4 linked regions of the Macaca mulatta genome follow. The protein of the gene in region 4 interacts with the protein of the main gene of each other region in a biochemical or structural test. Links are inferred from orthologs where the notes say so. Each region holds a gene or a part of one and is shown on either strand. Other genes may lie near its edges.

Region 1 (3,562 bases), on a different chromosome or scaffold from region 4:
AGTCTGTGCCAAGCTAAAACTTGGCATGCTTTATTACTGAAAAGAAAAAGAAGAGACGGGGTGTTGGGAGAATTAGAACTCTGCCATAGTTGAGAGCCTCAGAAAACAGAAATATTTAAGACATGATTCCTGCTGTCCAGAAGCCTACAATCTATTAAATAGTAAGGAAGATAAACAAAGTACAAAAATAAATACAGTAAAAGGAAGAATGTAAGCATAGTCTCCTTTAGACTAGTATTTAGAAACATTTAAATATAACCCAGGAAATAGTCTATTTTAAGGACTCATGAAAACCAGCTAACTATTAAGGTTAAGAATGAAGTGATTAAAATCATTCTTACGGGGCTTCCTCCCCTCCCCACCAACTTACTATAGTTTGGAATTACACCTTCTTTTTGTTACCAAAAGTATTGAATCAAATGTTTTAAAGAGTTGTTTTGTGTTTTCTCCCAGATCATTGAAATTTTTGCATTTTTTTCTTGAACAGCATCTGAGAATCTGCTGTTACTTGTGGCAAGTCAGAACAAAATTATTGCCGACAGTGTCACCTCCCAGGTCCACAATATCTATTCATTGGTCGAGAATGGTTCTTACATTGTAGCTGTTGATTTTGATTCAATTAGTGGTCGTATCTTTTGGTCTGATGCAACTCAGGGTAAAACCTGGAGTGCGTTTCAAAATGGAACGGACAGAAGAGTAGTAAGTACATTTCTGTTGACCTTTGGCCTGGCTAGTTCCCCTGTCTTGGGTCTGTTTGCTGTTATTCACCAGTGAGAGAAGGCCCTACCTCATCCGGGTAGCTCTCATGGTACCTTCTGGGCCACATAACACCTAAGAGACTTGCATGTTCATAACTATGAATTTATGGCTGTTTTCAATAGGAGGGTGGCCTCTGAAGGCAGATGTATGATTCTGAATTCCAGGTCAGTGATGCAGAGACCTCACAATGTCTTTAAGTTTCCTTTTGCAGTCTTTTCTTGTGGATGAGAGCAGAGGAAAATGCAGGAAAGTTAAGGGGTTGCTTTTGTTAACTTTAATTTAGTGATATTTCTCAATCCATCTCCCAGAATTTCAGTTTCTTGGCTCCTGATAGTTACATTTCCTCTGCCTCTTACAACTTTATTTTGTAATTATTGGTGCTTAATTAACAGAGATATTATTCTTTGCATGCAAACACTATAACGTTTCGTAATGTTGCCAACTAAGCAGATGGATAGAGCTTTTGCTTAGTTGCAAAAACTTTTGAAACCAAAACGAAGCTATGCACTAACCCAACAATGAAGTTATCTTAGAATATTCAGTGGGACAAAATCTTGTATACTTTTCTCGGAAAACCCTACTGTTGATTTGGTGGTTAGCTACATGAGAGGACAAAATTTTCTAATCCTGACAAGTAATTATAGGACAAGTTAGATGTTTTAATCTAGATTTTTATATAATATCCATGTTTGCATTCATTTATATGCTCTAGAAATCAGTCTTTATTCACTTTTGTCTTTAGGTATTTGACAGTAGCATCATCTTGACTGAAACTATTGCAATAGATTGGGTAGGTCGTAATCTTTACTGGACAGACTATGCTCTGGAAACAATTGAAGTCTCCAAAATTGATGGGAGCCACAGGACTGTGCTGATTAGTAAAAACCTAACAAATCCAAGAGGACTAGCATTAGATCCCAGAATGAAGTAAGAATTTTTTTTTTTAATTATGTTGCCTTGACATGGTTATGATGAGGGAAAAACAACAATAACATGATGTAGCTGATATGCATGTTGCTGATCTGCAAAATTTAAAATGATCCCTTGTTTAAACATGGTAGGTGTCCAACTGGGTATTGCTGTCTCCTTCATCTGAATTATCCTCTTCATAAAGTATATAGGAGCAATTGATTGTTTACTTTTTTTTTAGATCACATTGATTTATTAGCTTGGCAATACAGTTTTCAAAATGTCATATAATTAAAAATTAAGTTTCTGGCCAGACGTCGTGGCTCACACCTGTAATCCCAGCACTTTGGGAGGCTGAGGCTGGCGGATCACTAGGTCAGGAGATCGAGATCATCCTGGCAAACATGGTGAAACCCCGTCTCTACTAAAAATACAAAGAGAATTAGCCAGGCATAGTGGTGGGCGCCTATAGTCCCAGCTACTCGGGAGGCTGAGGCAGGAGAATGGCATGAACCTGGGGGAGCGGAGCTTGCAGTGAGCGGACATCATGCCACTGCACTCCAGCCTGGGTGACAAAACAAGACTCTGTCTCAAAAAAAAAAAAAAAAAAAATTAAGTTTCTAATTACTGCATGCAGTAATAGTCCATAGAGGGGCCAGTTTGATGTAACTTTGATAACTCATGATTATACAGCAAAAAAGCTGGATTTTTCTGCTTCAGTTTTATGTAGTTTATGAGAGCTCCCTTTTAAGTCATATAAGGAAGGCAGTTTTTGCCTACTGGTCCTAAAGGGAAGGTAGACAAATTCTCCCATGTGTTTGGAAATCTTTGAGGGCTTCTCTCCCTGAATTTACTTATATTTGATAACTTAGATTCTTTGCTGCAGGGCGGCAAATTAGGCAAGTTATGTTCAATGTGATGTTGACTTCCTAGATATTGTAAAGTATTACACACCAGTGAAATTTATGATGAATCCATGATGAAGAATAAATTGATTTCCTTATCTAAAAACATGACAGGGTAGACAAACAAGGACAGATGGATTTTTCTAGATCAACTATTTGTGGATTATAAACAAACATGAATTGGCATTGAGACGTTTCAATGTCATAATGTACTACATTATGACATTATGTATTACATGTTTTATGAAATATTATAAAAATACCCAGATGGGTTGTGATTGTGTTATGACAGTTTTACTTTGTGATGCTTAGAGGAAATAAACTCTGTGCACATATTCTGAACCACAGATTATTTATTTTAAGCAGGGCATAAACAGGATGTTGTATTATTTAAAATGACAGTTATTTTAAATATTTAAATACATCCCCTCCAATTGGTAACTCGTTTCCTTTCCCAGTGAGCATCTATTGTTCTGGTCTGACTGGGGCCACCACCCTCGCATCGAGCGGGCTAGCATGGACGGCAGCATGCGCACTGTCATTGTCCAGGACAAGATCTTCTGGCCCTGCGGCTTAACTATTGACTACCCCAACAGACTGCTCTACTTCATGGACTCCTATCTTGATTACATAGACTTTTGTGATTATAATGGACACCATCGGAGACAGGTGATAGCCAGTGATTTGGTAAGTTGGTGGTGAGGAAAACCAAATTAAAACTACAGTTGTGGATAGGTAGAAATCACACGAGTATCAGAAAAGCTAAAAAATTGATTTTTGTGTCATAGACAATATCAGGTCAATCCAGGAAATACCAGCAACAGTGAGACGCAGTCTATCCCATATGAATAACAGGAAAATGAATATTTTCATTCCAGTTCATGGTCAGATTGTGCCTTGTCCAGGGAGGATTTTTATAGCTCATGTGATTTAGTTGAGCTGTAGATGTGAATCTGTTGCTTCTATAGCTTTAAAAATGGTGTCAAGTG
Region 2 (3,562 bases), about 4.1 Mb from region 4:
GAAATGGATTGTGCCAGGTCTCCGGCATCAGACACAGCTGACTTTCAGTCAATCCTAACGCTGTTCTTTACCAGCTCTGTGACCAGAACTTAGTGCTTACCACCATGTTTGTCACACAGCAGTGCTCAAATACTCCATGAATAAGCAAAATTCAGAGTCATCTGTTATGTGTGGATAATCATAATAGGTAACATTTAGTAAGCACTGGGCTGGGTATTCTTCTAGGTGCTTGCTTTACAGACATTAACTTAGTCATCATAACAATCCTATGAGGGATAGTATTATCCCCACTTTATTGGCACAGAGATAAGGATTGTTGGCCAAGGTCACATAGTCAGTGAGTGAGTGAACTAGGATTTGAACCCAGGCAGCCAGATTCCAGAGCCCATGTTCTCCACCTCCATGTTGGAGGCCAGCACATAATCCTCTCACCCTGCTGGCTTATTGTGAAAATTAAATGGAAGCGTCTAGCACCATGCCTGGCACATCCTAGAGACCACAGAAATCGGGCCTCCTGCACACTCTGGAAGGCTGTAGGGAGCCAACCACGGAGGTCTGAGATGCATCTGCCTTGGCTGAGCCTGTCACATGGGTCCGGCAGAAACTCATGATAAGAGCTGTCCCCAGCCTTGAATAGGGTTCTCATTCTTTCTTCCAAATTGAGATTCAACCCTGGGGCTTCAGGCCCCTGATTGAGTCAGCCTCTGATTGCGGCTGCAGTAATTATAGCTATGCAGTCCCGCTGGGCCCTGCTATGCAGCAGCTGTTCTCAGCAGCAGGCTCAGCACCATCACTCGGGGAGGGGGCTTAGAGGCGGGCCGATTGGAGCCGTTGGGGCCTTGGTGAACCCTCTAAATTTACAGGTTCCAATCATGGAGTCACTGATCTGGAAGGCAAACTGAGGCCCAGCTGGGACATATCTCACCTAAGAGCACACAGCTGGGAAATGACAGAGACGAGTGCAGGGCATGGTGGCTCCATGTTGCCGGAACTTAAAGTGGAGGTTTGGAGGGATGGGAGGTGTGGCCAGGAGAGGCAGGCAGGAGTCAATGGATTAAAGAGAAACTTGAGGGCCAGGGACCAGGGGGCCATGAAAGATGTTCTGTAGAGAAGTGGTGGGGTCAGATTTAGGATTTGGAAACTCCTGGGACAGACAGAGGCTTCTTCTCAGCTGATGAAACTGAGACATGGGCCAGGAGAGCCCTGATGGACTCCTAGGGCCTTGGACCAGGTGGCTGGAACAGGGTGGTAGGACTGGTTGGCACCATGCCCTGTGTCCCCCTTGGCTAAGCTATGCATGGACGTCTGTCTCCACAGCCAAGCAGGTGTGTCCTGCAGAGAAGCTGAGCTGTGGACCCACCAGCCACAAGTGTGTACCTGCCTCATGGCGCTGCGACGGGGAGAAGGACTGCGAGGGTGGAGCGGATGAGGCCGGCTGTGTTACCTGTGAGTCTGGGGTCAGATCCCCAGGGTCTGCCAAGCATGGTCAGGCAGCCTCAGGGAGTGACAGCCACTTCTGGGGAGGGGCCCAGTTCCCCGTGGGGCTTGGTAGGTGGAGAGGAAAGGATAATGATCAGGACATTAGTAATGGCTAGACACTATGGAGACACTGTCTTCTTTCATCTTCACAAGCACCTCATGAGCAGCCATTATCATCCCCATTTTATAGGTGAGGAAACTGAGGCTCAGACAAGGGAGGAAAAGTACCCAGGGCTGAGTGATGAAACCAAGATTCAGATTCAGGACTGGACAGCAAAGCCCATGAGCTTTTTTGCCATGTCTGACATCTGCTCATCCATCCCACAAGTCTGCCAATCTTCGAGCAAGGGCAGGGGGACCAGGGAGGGTACTGTATGGAGAAATGGTGGTGGCCTGAGCCAGAGTGCCAGCAGTGCTGGGGGGAGGGGGACGGATTCCTGAGGTGTCAAGGACGACTGTTGCTGAAATATCAGATTTGAGCACAAACGTCACAGGGCAGAGAAGATATTCTCAGCAGCCTCGGCAGGGACAGATGGAAGCGGCCACTGGGACAGTTCCACATCACTGAGCTTCAAACACAGGATTATCTCCTTCCCAGGGAGCAGGCCAGCAGGGCCTGGGCCAGTGAGGAGCATGGCCAGGCCTTACTTTTTCAATTCGAGGGGCACCTACTGTGTGCCAGGCCTGAAGCCAGGCTCTGAAAGGGACAGTGAGGTGAATCCTACACAGTCGTCCCTCTGGGAACACATGATTAATGGGGGAGACAGACTGGCTGTCGCTACTGGGCTGTGCGGCTGGGCTGAGATATGGGCGGTCACCCTGGAGGGCTTGCCAGGCACTTGCCCGTCACTGCTGCCTAGTCCCCTCTGCCAGCCTCTATATTTGCATCCTATCCATCTTTCCTGGCCCAGGGAAAATGCCATCTCCTCCAGAGGTGTCTGAGTAGTCGCACTTTAAGATTCTAAGTCTGGAATTTGATGTGTCTGAAGCAGGAAGCATCTGGGTATAGAGGGAGATCCTGGCTGGGAACAGTAGTTTCAAAGTCCCAGTGATGGCACTGGCTCACTTCCTCAGCTGTGATAATTTTGCTGGGACTCACTGGCCAATGAGAATCCTCTTTCCTCTTTACCAACCCCCATAATCAGATGATTCCTCCAATATGAAGGCCGCTACTGCAAGGGATGGGAGCTTCTCCAACTAGGGCATGTTGGAATAGGAACATTCCCCATTAATTATGGGAGACAGGGGTGTCAGGTCTTACTGGGCTTCTGTGCTACAGCTCCCACTCTCCTAGGCAGAGGAGAAAGAGTCCTCCCACCCCTCATCTCTCTGAGCTTCTTCCATTTGTGAATGCTAGGAGTAGGGTCTCTGGGGCTATGTAGGCCTGAGAATATGGATCTTAAAGTTACTGTTGGCTCCAAAACCTCAGAGAAAACTCAGTATGAAGGAGCACTTCCTTGCCATCAAAATCTTCAAGTAAAATTTAAAAATAGGGCTGGGCGTGGTGGCTCATGCCTGTAATCCCAGCACTTCGGGAGGCCGAGGCAGGTGGATCATGAGGTCAGGAGATTGAGACTATCCTGGCTAACAGGGTGAAACTCCACCTCTACTAAAAATACAGAAAAAGAATTTAGCTGAGCATGGTGGCACGTGCCTGTAGTAACAGCTACTCGGGAGGCTGAGGCAGGAGAATCACTTGAACCCAGGAGGCAGGGTGGCAGTAGCTGAGAGCATACCACTGCACTCCAGCCTAGGTGACAGAGCGAGACTCCGTCTCAAAAAAGAAAATTTAAAAAAAAAAAAGCACTTCCCATTGGAACTCCCAGAAAGCAGTGAGTCCGCCCTCCCTGCACATGCACAAGCTGGGTGGGGACAGGCAGGAAGGGAGCTCATCTAGGTGTCAGTGTAATCTTGAGGGGCAGTGGCACTGGCAGCATGTGCTTTTTCCGCTAATGCCGCAGTGTCTCAAAAGTCTCAGAGGGGAAAAAAAAACGCAACTGTCAGACACTTGGTAGAGCTGTCAGAAACGCATGACACGAGCTACCTACCTGGTGAAACTGAAGACATCACTCTTTATCTTCAA
Region 3 (4,053 bases), on a different chromosome or scaffold from region 4:
AACCTTTTATTTAAGAAAGTGAAATCGCTCAATGTGCCCTCCCACTCTGGTTAGATGCTTAGCAGACCACAGCAGACAATGCACCTCAACCAGGGCTAAGTGTGCAAGAAAACTGAAGTACACAAAAAGCAAATTATAGACTCAGGTACTGTCAGGCACAAAAGAAGAATCAGTCCTTTCTAGGAGTCTTGCCTTTGCTTCCTTTATTCTTTCCTCGATTCTTGTAATTGAATGTTACAAAGTATATCAAGAGGAATAAACGTATGGGTCCCGTCTCTTCCAAACAAGAAAAGGTTAAGCTTTTAATTACAGGCCCTCAAACTATCATTTTGTGCAATTAGCAATTAACTATAATCGTTGATGAGCAAACGCAAAGCTGCGCTAGCAATTTCCCTTCTCCTTATCCCAGGCTGGGTTATTTTAGTCTTGTTCTATTACAGAGGAGCAGTCACAACCGCGCGCACTCTTTCTTTCAAACATACACACTCTCTCACTTAAAGACACATTTAGTTTTTAGGAAAATGGCATCTCAGCGTGCGATTGAGACCGACATCCCAAACCCCACATTTGAGCGCCCCAAACGTTTGGAGCCCCTCAGCTTCATCACTTTCTGAGTGGAGAGAGGAGGCCCGAAGAAGATGCTACCTACCATCCTCTCTCAGGGGCGCAGGAGAGGGTGGTAGAGAGATGATTGTTGCCCCTGGAAACTGCAAGTACCCCCCAGGTGCACGCCCCGTTAGTGGGGAGGCAGTGGCAATAGCAACGATAGTTGCATCAGCGCTAACTGCTGCTGCTGCTGCATGTTCTGCTGGCGGCTGCCGGGAGGGTACAGTAATGACTGTAGAGAGCGCACAGCTGCTGCGGCGGCAGGTTCCCTGGATCAGGAAATTAGGACAGGCACCGGGGATTGGAGACGAGGGCGGTGCGCGAGCCAACCAGCGGCCGCCCCGGGCCCCCGTGAGCTCCAGGCGGCCTCGCGGAGCAGCCGGGCCCCTAAAGCAGCCCGGGTGGCGACGGCGGCGGCGGCGGCCACAGCCACGACCACGGTCACTCATGCACGCACGCTCACACTCGCACACTCCCGGCGCGGGCACCCAGCTGCCCGGCGCGTGTAAGAGGAGCGCGTCGAGGGAAAGGAGGACTGAAGCCGCCGCGCTCCCGCCCGCCCGCCGCGCCTCCCGTTGACCACTCCCCCTCCTGCCCCCTCCCCGCTCCTCACCCCGAGCTCCAGCCGCCGCCGGTGTGGGTGCTCCGCTACCGGCTCCTCTCTGTTCTGTCCTCTCTTCTGCTCTTGGCTCCCCACCCCCTCTCCCTTCCTTCCCCTCCCCTTCCCTCCCCTCCTCTGCAGCGCCTGCATTATTTTCTGCCCGCAGGCTCGGCTTGCACTGCTGCTGCAGCCCAGGGAGGTGGATGGGTGGGTGGGTTGGCTGGTGGGGAGGAGATTGTGCAAGTTGTAGGGGAGGGGGTGCCCTCTTGTTCCCCGCTCCCTTCCCCCCCAACTCCTTCCCCCTCCTTCTCCCCCTTTCCCCTCCCCGCCCCCACCTTCTTCCTCCTTTCGGAAGGGCTGGTAACTTGTTGTGCGGAGCGAACGGCGGCGGCGGCGGCGGCGGCGGCGGCACCATCCAGGCGGGCACCATGGGCACGTCCGCGCGCTGGGCGCTCTGGCTGCTGCTCGCGCTGTGCTGGGCGCCCTGGGAGAGCGGCGCCACCGGAACCGGTGAGTGAGGACGCGCCCCTCCGCCGGCGGCCGGGACCCAGCCGGGGCACCGGGAGACCCCGAGGCGCAGGTCTCCGTTTGCCCACCGCCTCCTAGGAGGCGCCTCTCGGCTCTCTCTTGCCTTCTCTCCCTCCCCTCAGTGGTGGCGCCTCTGAGCTGTCAGCGCCGCGGCTAAAGGGAGCTGGGCTTGGGGAACAGTGGGGTTTGGGGTGTCCTGACGCCTCGCCTGAACTAGTCTTCGATCCCTCACACCGCCTCCCCCAAAGCCGCTGCTTTGCCTCGTTTCTCGCCCCCTTGACAGGGGCTGAGGTATGTGGGCTTCTGAGCATTGAACAATGGTTCTGCCTCCTCTGCCAGGCGGAGTGTTAGGAAGGAGGTAGAGGGCCGAGACGTGCGCGGCAGCCCGGGGCGCGCGCCTCGAACCTCAGGGAGTGTGGGAGCGGACGGTGGGCGAAGGTGAGGGCCTCCGGGGACGCGGGGCGCCAGGTGCGGGCCGGGGCTCGGAGTCTTCCGGCGGCCGTGAGCGGGCGCACGTTCGGTGGGCGGCAGCCGGGAGGCTCCGCGGAGCCGCGGGCAGTGCGCAGTCTGCGCACCCAGACTGCGTCTCCCCCGGCGCGGGGCCGCCTCTCCGGCGTGCGGGGTAGGGGAGGAGCGGGCTTTACGCAGGACTGTCCTCTGGGTGCTTCTCCCCTCCCTTTTCCACGCCTCGGGCGGCATTTGGAAACCTCTCGGGTCTCTCGTGTAGCTGAATGGGGAGGGGGAATGGAACGAAGACTTAATCAGGTTAGTTTGCTGATCCTCCTTCCCGTTGACGTTTCCTCGAGAGGAATTGAGTCCTAGGCTAGTGACTGTAATTAGCCTTCATTCTAAACAATAAATCAAAGGAACAGCGCGAGAGCGAGTGTGTGGCCCTGTCTTGTTGAGAAGGGCGGTGTGACTACTGTCGGGTCCCTAGAGTCTGCCGCAGGGGCTTGGGGGCCCTGCCTGGTCTTCAGCCACGTTCCCACTTGGGGCCTCATAACTTTCCTGGACAAGCGACAGGAAGCCCTTCTAAGAGGACTCAGTCAGAATCCTAGCGCGTCCCAGAAGTGATCTTCAGATGTGACGCCAAGGGGCTTGTTTGCCAGCTGCGGGGAATTGGGACTGAAAGCCGCCCCAGCCCGAAACACCCATTCCAGAGTCCCTAGCTCCAGTAGCCAGGTGGCTTAAGGGGCCCTGCCTGCCTGCAGTCACGTGCTCCTGAAGTGAGAGCGAACTTTAAAGTTTGTGGTCAAGGAGCCTCTCGGGCAATGCCTGGGGTTTTTACGTCTCCGAATGCCCCTGCCCTTTAGTTGCCACTGTCCGGAGGGTGTGAACTGGGATTGGCCTTTCTGCCCTCTGCGATTGGCTGGCAGTGCGATCACGTTTAGGTTGATCACATGGTTCCGCGGACTCCTAAGCGAGCAGCACGGGAAGTGTTATTTTCAATGGAAAGTAGGAGACTCCACAAGCTCCTCAAATGCCTTCCCCTGCCTGGACTCTTTGAAGAGGACGAATGTGTAGTGAACATGGAATCTGATGTGTAACAAGCCTGAGAGCCTAGAAAAGCTCTGCTTACAAGAGTTTTCAAACGCTAGCATTAATCATTAATGGATGAGTAATACTAACTTATTAAACGATTTCTCAGTATAGTGCCATGACTTGTATTATGCCTTTTGAAACATTTCAAAACACTAAGGTATACCAGGAGGGACAATTATCCAGGAAGGTGAGAGAAAACTTTCATTTTTGCTGCATGTCCCTTCCACTAGAGGTTAACTTTACCTTATAGAATGTTAGGAGTGCACCTAAACTGACTTGAGTTAGTCAAAGCCAGATATTCACCTTGTATTAGGCAGGTGAGGATCCTCTTTGTCACATGTGAAATATTTGACATGCCATGAACAATGGAAAAAACAAATTCTTCAAAGGAAAGGAGGCAGATTCTTTCAGAACTGGAGGAAATTTGGGCTGAGGCAGGTATTGACTCTAAACCAATCCCAACTGGCATCTGTCTTAAGTTCAAAGTCCCAGGGTATGTGGGCTCACTTCCTACCCTGGAGCTTCTACGCTCGCCCTGTCTCTCCACTGGCACATGGTGCTGTTCCAGGTACTCCTGGACAAGGCAGGTGAGCACCGAGACTCTGGCAAGGAACTTAAAGCTATTGAGAAGTTGGTATATCTGATTGCACAATTGCTGGGGGTTCTAGGACATTTTCCTCCAGCCTGAGTAGTCAGGATTAAGATCTGTGGTATGATATATTCTTGAAGGTCAAAGTCTAAAAATCCAAGGTTTTGTGAGAGCTATTCATATATGG
Region 4 (4,283 bases):
ACAATGGTGTGTCTTGCAAATGAAACATACTGTGAAACAGCTTGTGAGATGAGCTTCATCAACAATAAGTAATTTTTATTCAGATTTTATCGTTGACTACAATGAACATGATTAAACGTTTCAGATATGCCTATTCAGACCTTAAGCAAACCACTAAAAAATAAAAACTACTAAAAATCATCTTCTAAATCTGCTTTAGAAGAGACTTAATTGCCAACTCGATGGGTAGAACCGAATTCCTACTTGATAGCAGCACCGTTCCCAAGAAGATGGTCACAACATATTTGCACTTCCCACCTCGGCCTCTTTTCTCATCCCTGCGGATCCTCCCAGCGTTGCCAAATAGTTACAAAGTCAGTCCTTTCAAACCACTGCATTTTGAACTTCCTAAACCTTTAAGAGAGACTCTGTGTACGGAAAAGAACAATAGCGCTTCAAAAGACCTTTCTGCGAGTTCTTCAATACTCCATTTGAATGCTGGGGTTTCAATCAAGGACATCAGCAGACAATTTCTGATTGCTTAGAAGTTGACTTTTATACAGCTTTGATTAGGTCGCCCTTCTCAATAGGAAATCAAGAAAATATTTGATCACTTTAGGTTCCCAGAATTGTCACCAAGCCTTGTCAGGATAGGGAGTGAAAGAGACGGGGGTGGCGGGGGGCCCTACTCCTTCTGACATCTCCGAACCCCCATCTATCTTCGTGCCTGCGCAGTTCCGGTGCCATCCAGAATCACTCATCACAGAGATCACAAAAACAATGGGTGCTAATTCAAGGGGTGGGGATGGTTTATAATTTTATGGATTTCCCAAAGACCTATAATTGGCACATAAATGTACCAACGTGAACTGGATAATTAGGGGGTTCTAAAACGTAAGCCACCTTTAATTTATATGATTACTTGAAAACGTTAAGTGTTGTAAAGTGTAGTGGAATCTCCACACGGCCTTTATTCAAAACTATCAACACTGAAAGTGTATTTAACTGGCCAGCAGGAGGGGAGCAGGAAGGAGGTGGAAACGACGGCGCGGATTCTCACCCCCGGTCCCTGTTGGCTGGCTAGGAGCTGCACTGGAGCATCCAGCTCGCAGGCGGGCTCGCCCCCGTCCAGCTCCCAGGCGGAGAAAGGCGCTCTCGCTACCGCAAGCTCTACACTCGCCCCTCTTTCTAACGGAGTTAAACATAGGCGTGCGCCGACATCCAAACGCACACGCAGACACCGACCCACGCGGGCGCGCACCCCAGCCTCGCGACACACACACACCGGAGCGCACAGAAGCCCGCGCCGCGGCGCTCTCCACTCCGCCCGCCGCCGAGAGCCGAGCGGTCGCCAAACGCCCCCGGCCTCCCCACCCCCACGCCATTCCTTCAGACTCTCCCAGCCTAAGCGGAAGTGCCCCAGCAGACCCCCAACAATGAGGACTTGTGCGATGCAGTTGGGGGTTGGGGGTAGTTCACACGGAGTGAAACGTACACAGTCTGGCAGGTCTGGGAGCAGCCAAGTGGCGTCCGCCTCTCCAGGCAGCGTTCCCTTGTGCCCACTGGCCCCCATGAGGCCCACCAGCACCACCAAAAAACAAAAACAGAGAAAAAAAGCGCCTTAAAAAGTGCAGAGAAAAGATGCGCCCTCCCACCAGGGGTCACAATAATACTCCCCGGGACGCAGCCAGCGGAGGCAGAGTCCTGACTGCAGCAGTCACCCTGGTTTTGAAATTTACTTTGTACACTCACCCAGTGGCCCCTTTCAGACGCCGCGACACGACCTCCCCCCATCTCGGACTCCCTGCCTCTGGGTTCTCTCGGCGGTTGACACCCTCTTGTGTGCCTGCCTTACGAGCCGAACCACAGAGATTTAAAGTTTCCCTGGTAGGAAAAAAAAAAAAACTGAGCTCTCTGCATCCAAGTCAGAGCGTCTGGAGCAGAGAGAAGGAAGAGAGGCGGGCTGGGGAGGGGACTAACTGGGCGTGTGGGCAGGGGGGTGCTGGGGAGTGGATGGAGGGGGTCGAGCGGCAAAGAACAGAGTCCACAGAAGATCCGAAGAAAGGCAGGGGTCCGAGGAACGCGGGATCCAGTTCTCACGGTGCCCGCGAAAGGGCTGGGATTACTGGGATAGAGTCGGTTTTTCGAGAGGTCGAAGCCGAACCTAGCTACCGAGGAGTAGGGAAGTGAGAACGGGGTTCGGCCGAGTGAGGAAGAGGGTCTGGCCACCAGAGAAGCAGGGAGGGAGTTTCGGGAGCACAGGACAGCGGGAGAAGGCAGGCTCGAGGACCGACAGAGCCAAGACCGCAGGAGGAAAGAGGGCGCAGGGGGTCTTGGAGAGAGACGCGTGTCAAGGGTGGACAAGTCTGGAGACAGGATCGCGCGTGGTCAGAAGTAGGGAGACAGGGGCGCAGGGGTGGGTGGCAGGAGAGAGAAAGAGAAGTCACCCCTTTCCTCCCAGCAAGTGGAGGGAGAAGGCGAAAAACTGCTGCAGTCGCCATCCTCGCACCACCCCTAGCCAAACTGCTGAGTGGCGCGTCCCAGGAGCCCTCCTCCGCGCCGGGGGCCCCAGCGAAGCTGGCTCCCCGGCGCCGCGTCGTCGCGGGGCACCTGACGCGCTGAACTCAAGGGTTGCCGCGCGCCCCCGCCGCGCCTCACCTCGCCTAGCCCAGAGCATCCTCCTCCGCTGCCGCAGCCGCCCAGGAAGCGGCTACCCATGCCCGGCGGGCGGCGGCACTCAGGCGCGCTCTACAGCCCGGGGAAGCCCGGGCGAGCGCCGAGCTGGGTCCATCCTCCCCGGGAGCCACGGGCCCCGCGTCAGAGTAGGGGGAGGAGACCGCCACCCGCGCGGACCCGCCTCCTCCCGCGGCCCCCGCCCCGCCGGCCCCCGCACCCGCCCGGCGCCCAGCGGCGCCGCTCACCTACTAGCTCCCCGGCCGCCGCCGCCGCCTGGTAGTGCGCTCCTCGCCCCGGCCTCGCGGCTCCAGCTCCCTCCGGGGCGCTCTCTGCGCAGCCTGAGCGCGCTCCGAGAGCTTAGCCGAGCCGCGGTGGCGACGAGGAGGTGGAAGAACGAGCGAGCGAGCGAGCGGGGGCGCCGCGGCTTGCAGTCGCGCCTCTGGAGCCCCTGCGCGCTCTCTCCATCCTGGCGTGGAAGCGGGAGAGACAAGCCGAGAGCGAGGGGTCCCCGCCCCAGCCTCGCCAGCGTGAAGAGGGTAAGGGAGGGGGTTGTCACAAAGTAGCCAGTGTTTTCTCCCCCATCACCACCACTGGCCGCAGCTCCGCCTGGCCCCTCTCATTTTTCTCTAGGGTCTACCCTTTTATCCAAGCCTCGAAAACATACGCATACCCAAATATACGGAGTGCCATTATGGGCGAAACCACGAGGGGAGTCTCTGTGAGGGCATGTTGCCCCCACGCCCCTTGGCAGGAGGGGGCGCTCGCTCCCAGCCGCCAGCGCAGGCTCGGTGGCTCCTGTTTTGACTGAGGCTTCCCAGGCAAAGTTGGGCAAGTTGGGAGGGAAAAGGCTAGCATGTGTCACGTTTCCGTCCTAGGAAAGACCCGTGCCCCTGAGAGTATGCAGACCGCGGTTAACTCCGGCTTACTCCCCCCAACTCCCTTACTCGGCTCTTAGAATGACTGGGAGTAAACAATCCTCTGATCCGAAGCTGTGCGGGAGACGGCTCCAGCGAGTACGCAGTCGGTTGCTCCTTGCTTAGGGTCCTAGCTTACAAAGATCCTAGAAACACCAAGTCGCAGAAAAGATTGGGTCCTTCTGAACATTCTTCCACCCTGAGACTGGATTCAATTCCAGGAATCCCTGTTGTGTGGCATACCTGTCTCCAGAGGCCTGAACGCAGGAGGAGAGAGGAGCCTGGAGAATCAAATCAAGTCGATAATGTGTAGATTCGCACTGCACACAAACCACCCTGCTGGACCCAGGTGCAGAAAAGGAAAGCAAGAGGCAAGCAACCCTTCCTTAAAAAGTTTACCCTTACTCTTTTGGGGGCTACACTTCTGTTTTCCAGCTGTGTAATAACAAAGCTAATGCGATGGATTTGTGCTTTTCTGTTTTGGGTTTTTTTTTTTTTGTTTTTTGTTTTTTTGTTTTTTTTTTTTTTTTTTTTACCTCTTAGCTTCAGACACTCACCCACGGAAATTTAATGAAGCTTTTAGGGTTGTTACCTCCAGAGTCAATGAGCTAAAAATATTTAGCCTAATGCACTCCTTGTGGAGCCAGTAGGTCCAGGGCTGGTACATACAGAGTCATCAAGAGACCCTCCCTTTCTCTACAAAATTCACGACCC

The links.
Region 1: the proteins of DAB1 (region 4) and LRP2 form a complex in vitro, tested with the Homo sapiens proteins (2 studies listed by BioGRID). The link is inferred for Macaca mulatta from reciprocal best matches to the Homo sapiens genes DAB1 and LRP2.
Region 2: the proteins of DAB1 (region 4) and LRP8 form a complex in vitro, tested with the Homo sapiens proteins (2 studies listed by BioGRID). The link is inferred for Macaca mulatta from reciprocal best matches to the Homo sapiens genes DAB1 and LRP8.
Region 3: the proteins of DAB1 (region 4) and VLDLR form a complex in vitro, tested with the Homo sapiens proteins (2 studies listed by BioGRID). The link is inferred for Macaca mulatta from reciprocal best matches to the Homo sapiens genes DAB1 and VLDLR.

What each region holds. Positions count from the first base shown.
Region 1 is NC_133417.1:74,171,750-74,175,311, reverse strand, and holds part of LRP2 (low-density lipoprotein receptor-related protein 2), read left to right. Parts: intron 1-487; coding exon 488-699; intron 700-1,501; coding exon 1,502-1,686; intron 1,687-3,031; coding exon 3,032-3,260; intron 3,261-3,562. UniProt on the Homo sapiens protein: Multiligand endocytic receptor. Acts together with CUBN to mediate endocytosis of high-density lipoproteins. Mediates receptor-mediated uptake of polybasic drugs such as aprotinin, aminoglycosides and polymyxin B.
Region 2 is NC_133406.1:187,326,729-187,330,290, forward strand, and holds part of LRP8 (low-density lipoprotein receptor-related protein 8), read left to right. Parts: intron 1-1,317; coding exon 1,318-1,446; intron 1,447-3,562. UniProt on the Homo sapiens protein: Cell surface receptor for Reelin (RELN) and apolipoprotein E (apoE)-containing ligands. LRP8 participates in transmitting the extracellular Reelin signal to intracellular signaling processes, by binding to DAB1 on its cytoplasmic tail.
Region 3 is NC_133420.1:96,832,988-96,837,040, reverse strand, and holds the start of VLDLR (very low-density lipoprotein receptor), read left to right. Parts: upstream 1-1,217; 5' UTR 1,218-1,410; coding exon 1,411-1,717; exon of another isoform or gene 1,718-1,963; coding exon of another isoform or gene 1,964-2,434; exon of another isoform or gene 2,435-3,388; intron 3,389-4,053. Other genes in the region: uncharacterized protein LOC106993776, read right to left, coding at 1,964-2,434. UniProt on the Homo sapiens protein: Multifunctional cell surface receptor that binds VLDL and transports it into cells by endocytosis and therefore plays an important role in energy metabolism.
Region 4 is NC_133406.1:183,204,607-183,208,889, reverse strand, and holds the start of DAB1 (disabled homolog 1), read right to left. Parts: upstream 2,829-4,283; 5' UTR 2,638-2,828; intron 2,264-2,637; exon of another isoform or gene 1,732-2,263; intron 1-1,731. UniProt on the Homo sapiens protein: Signaling adapter of the reelin-mediated signaling pathway, which regulates the migration and differentiation of postmitotic neurons during brain development.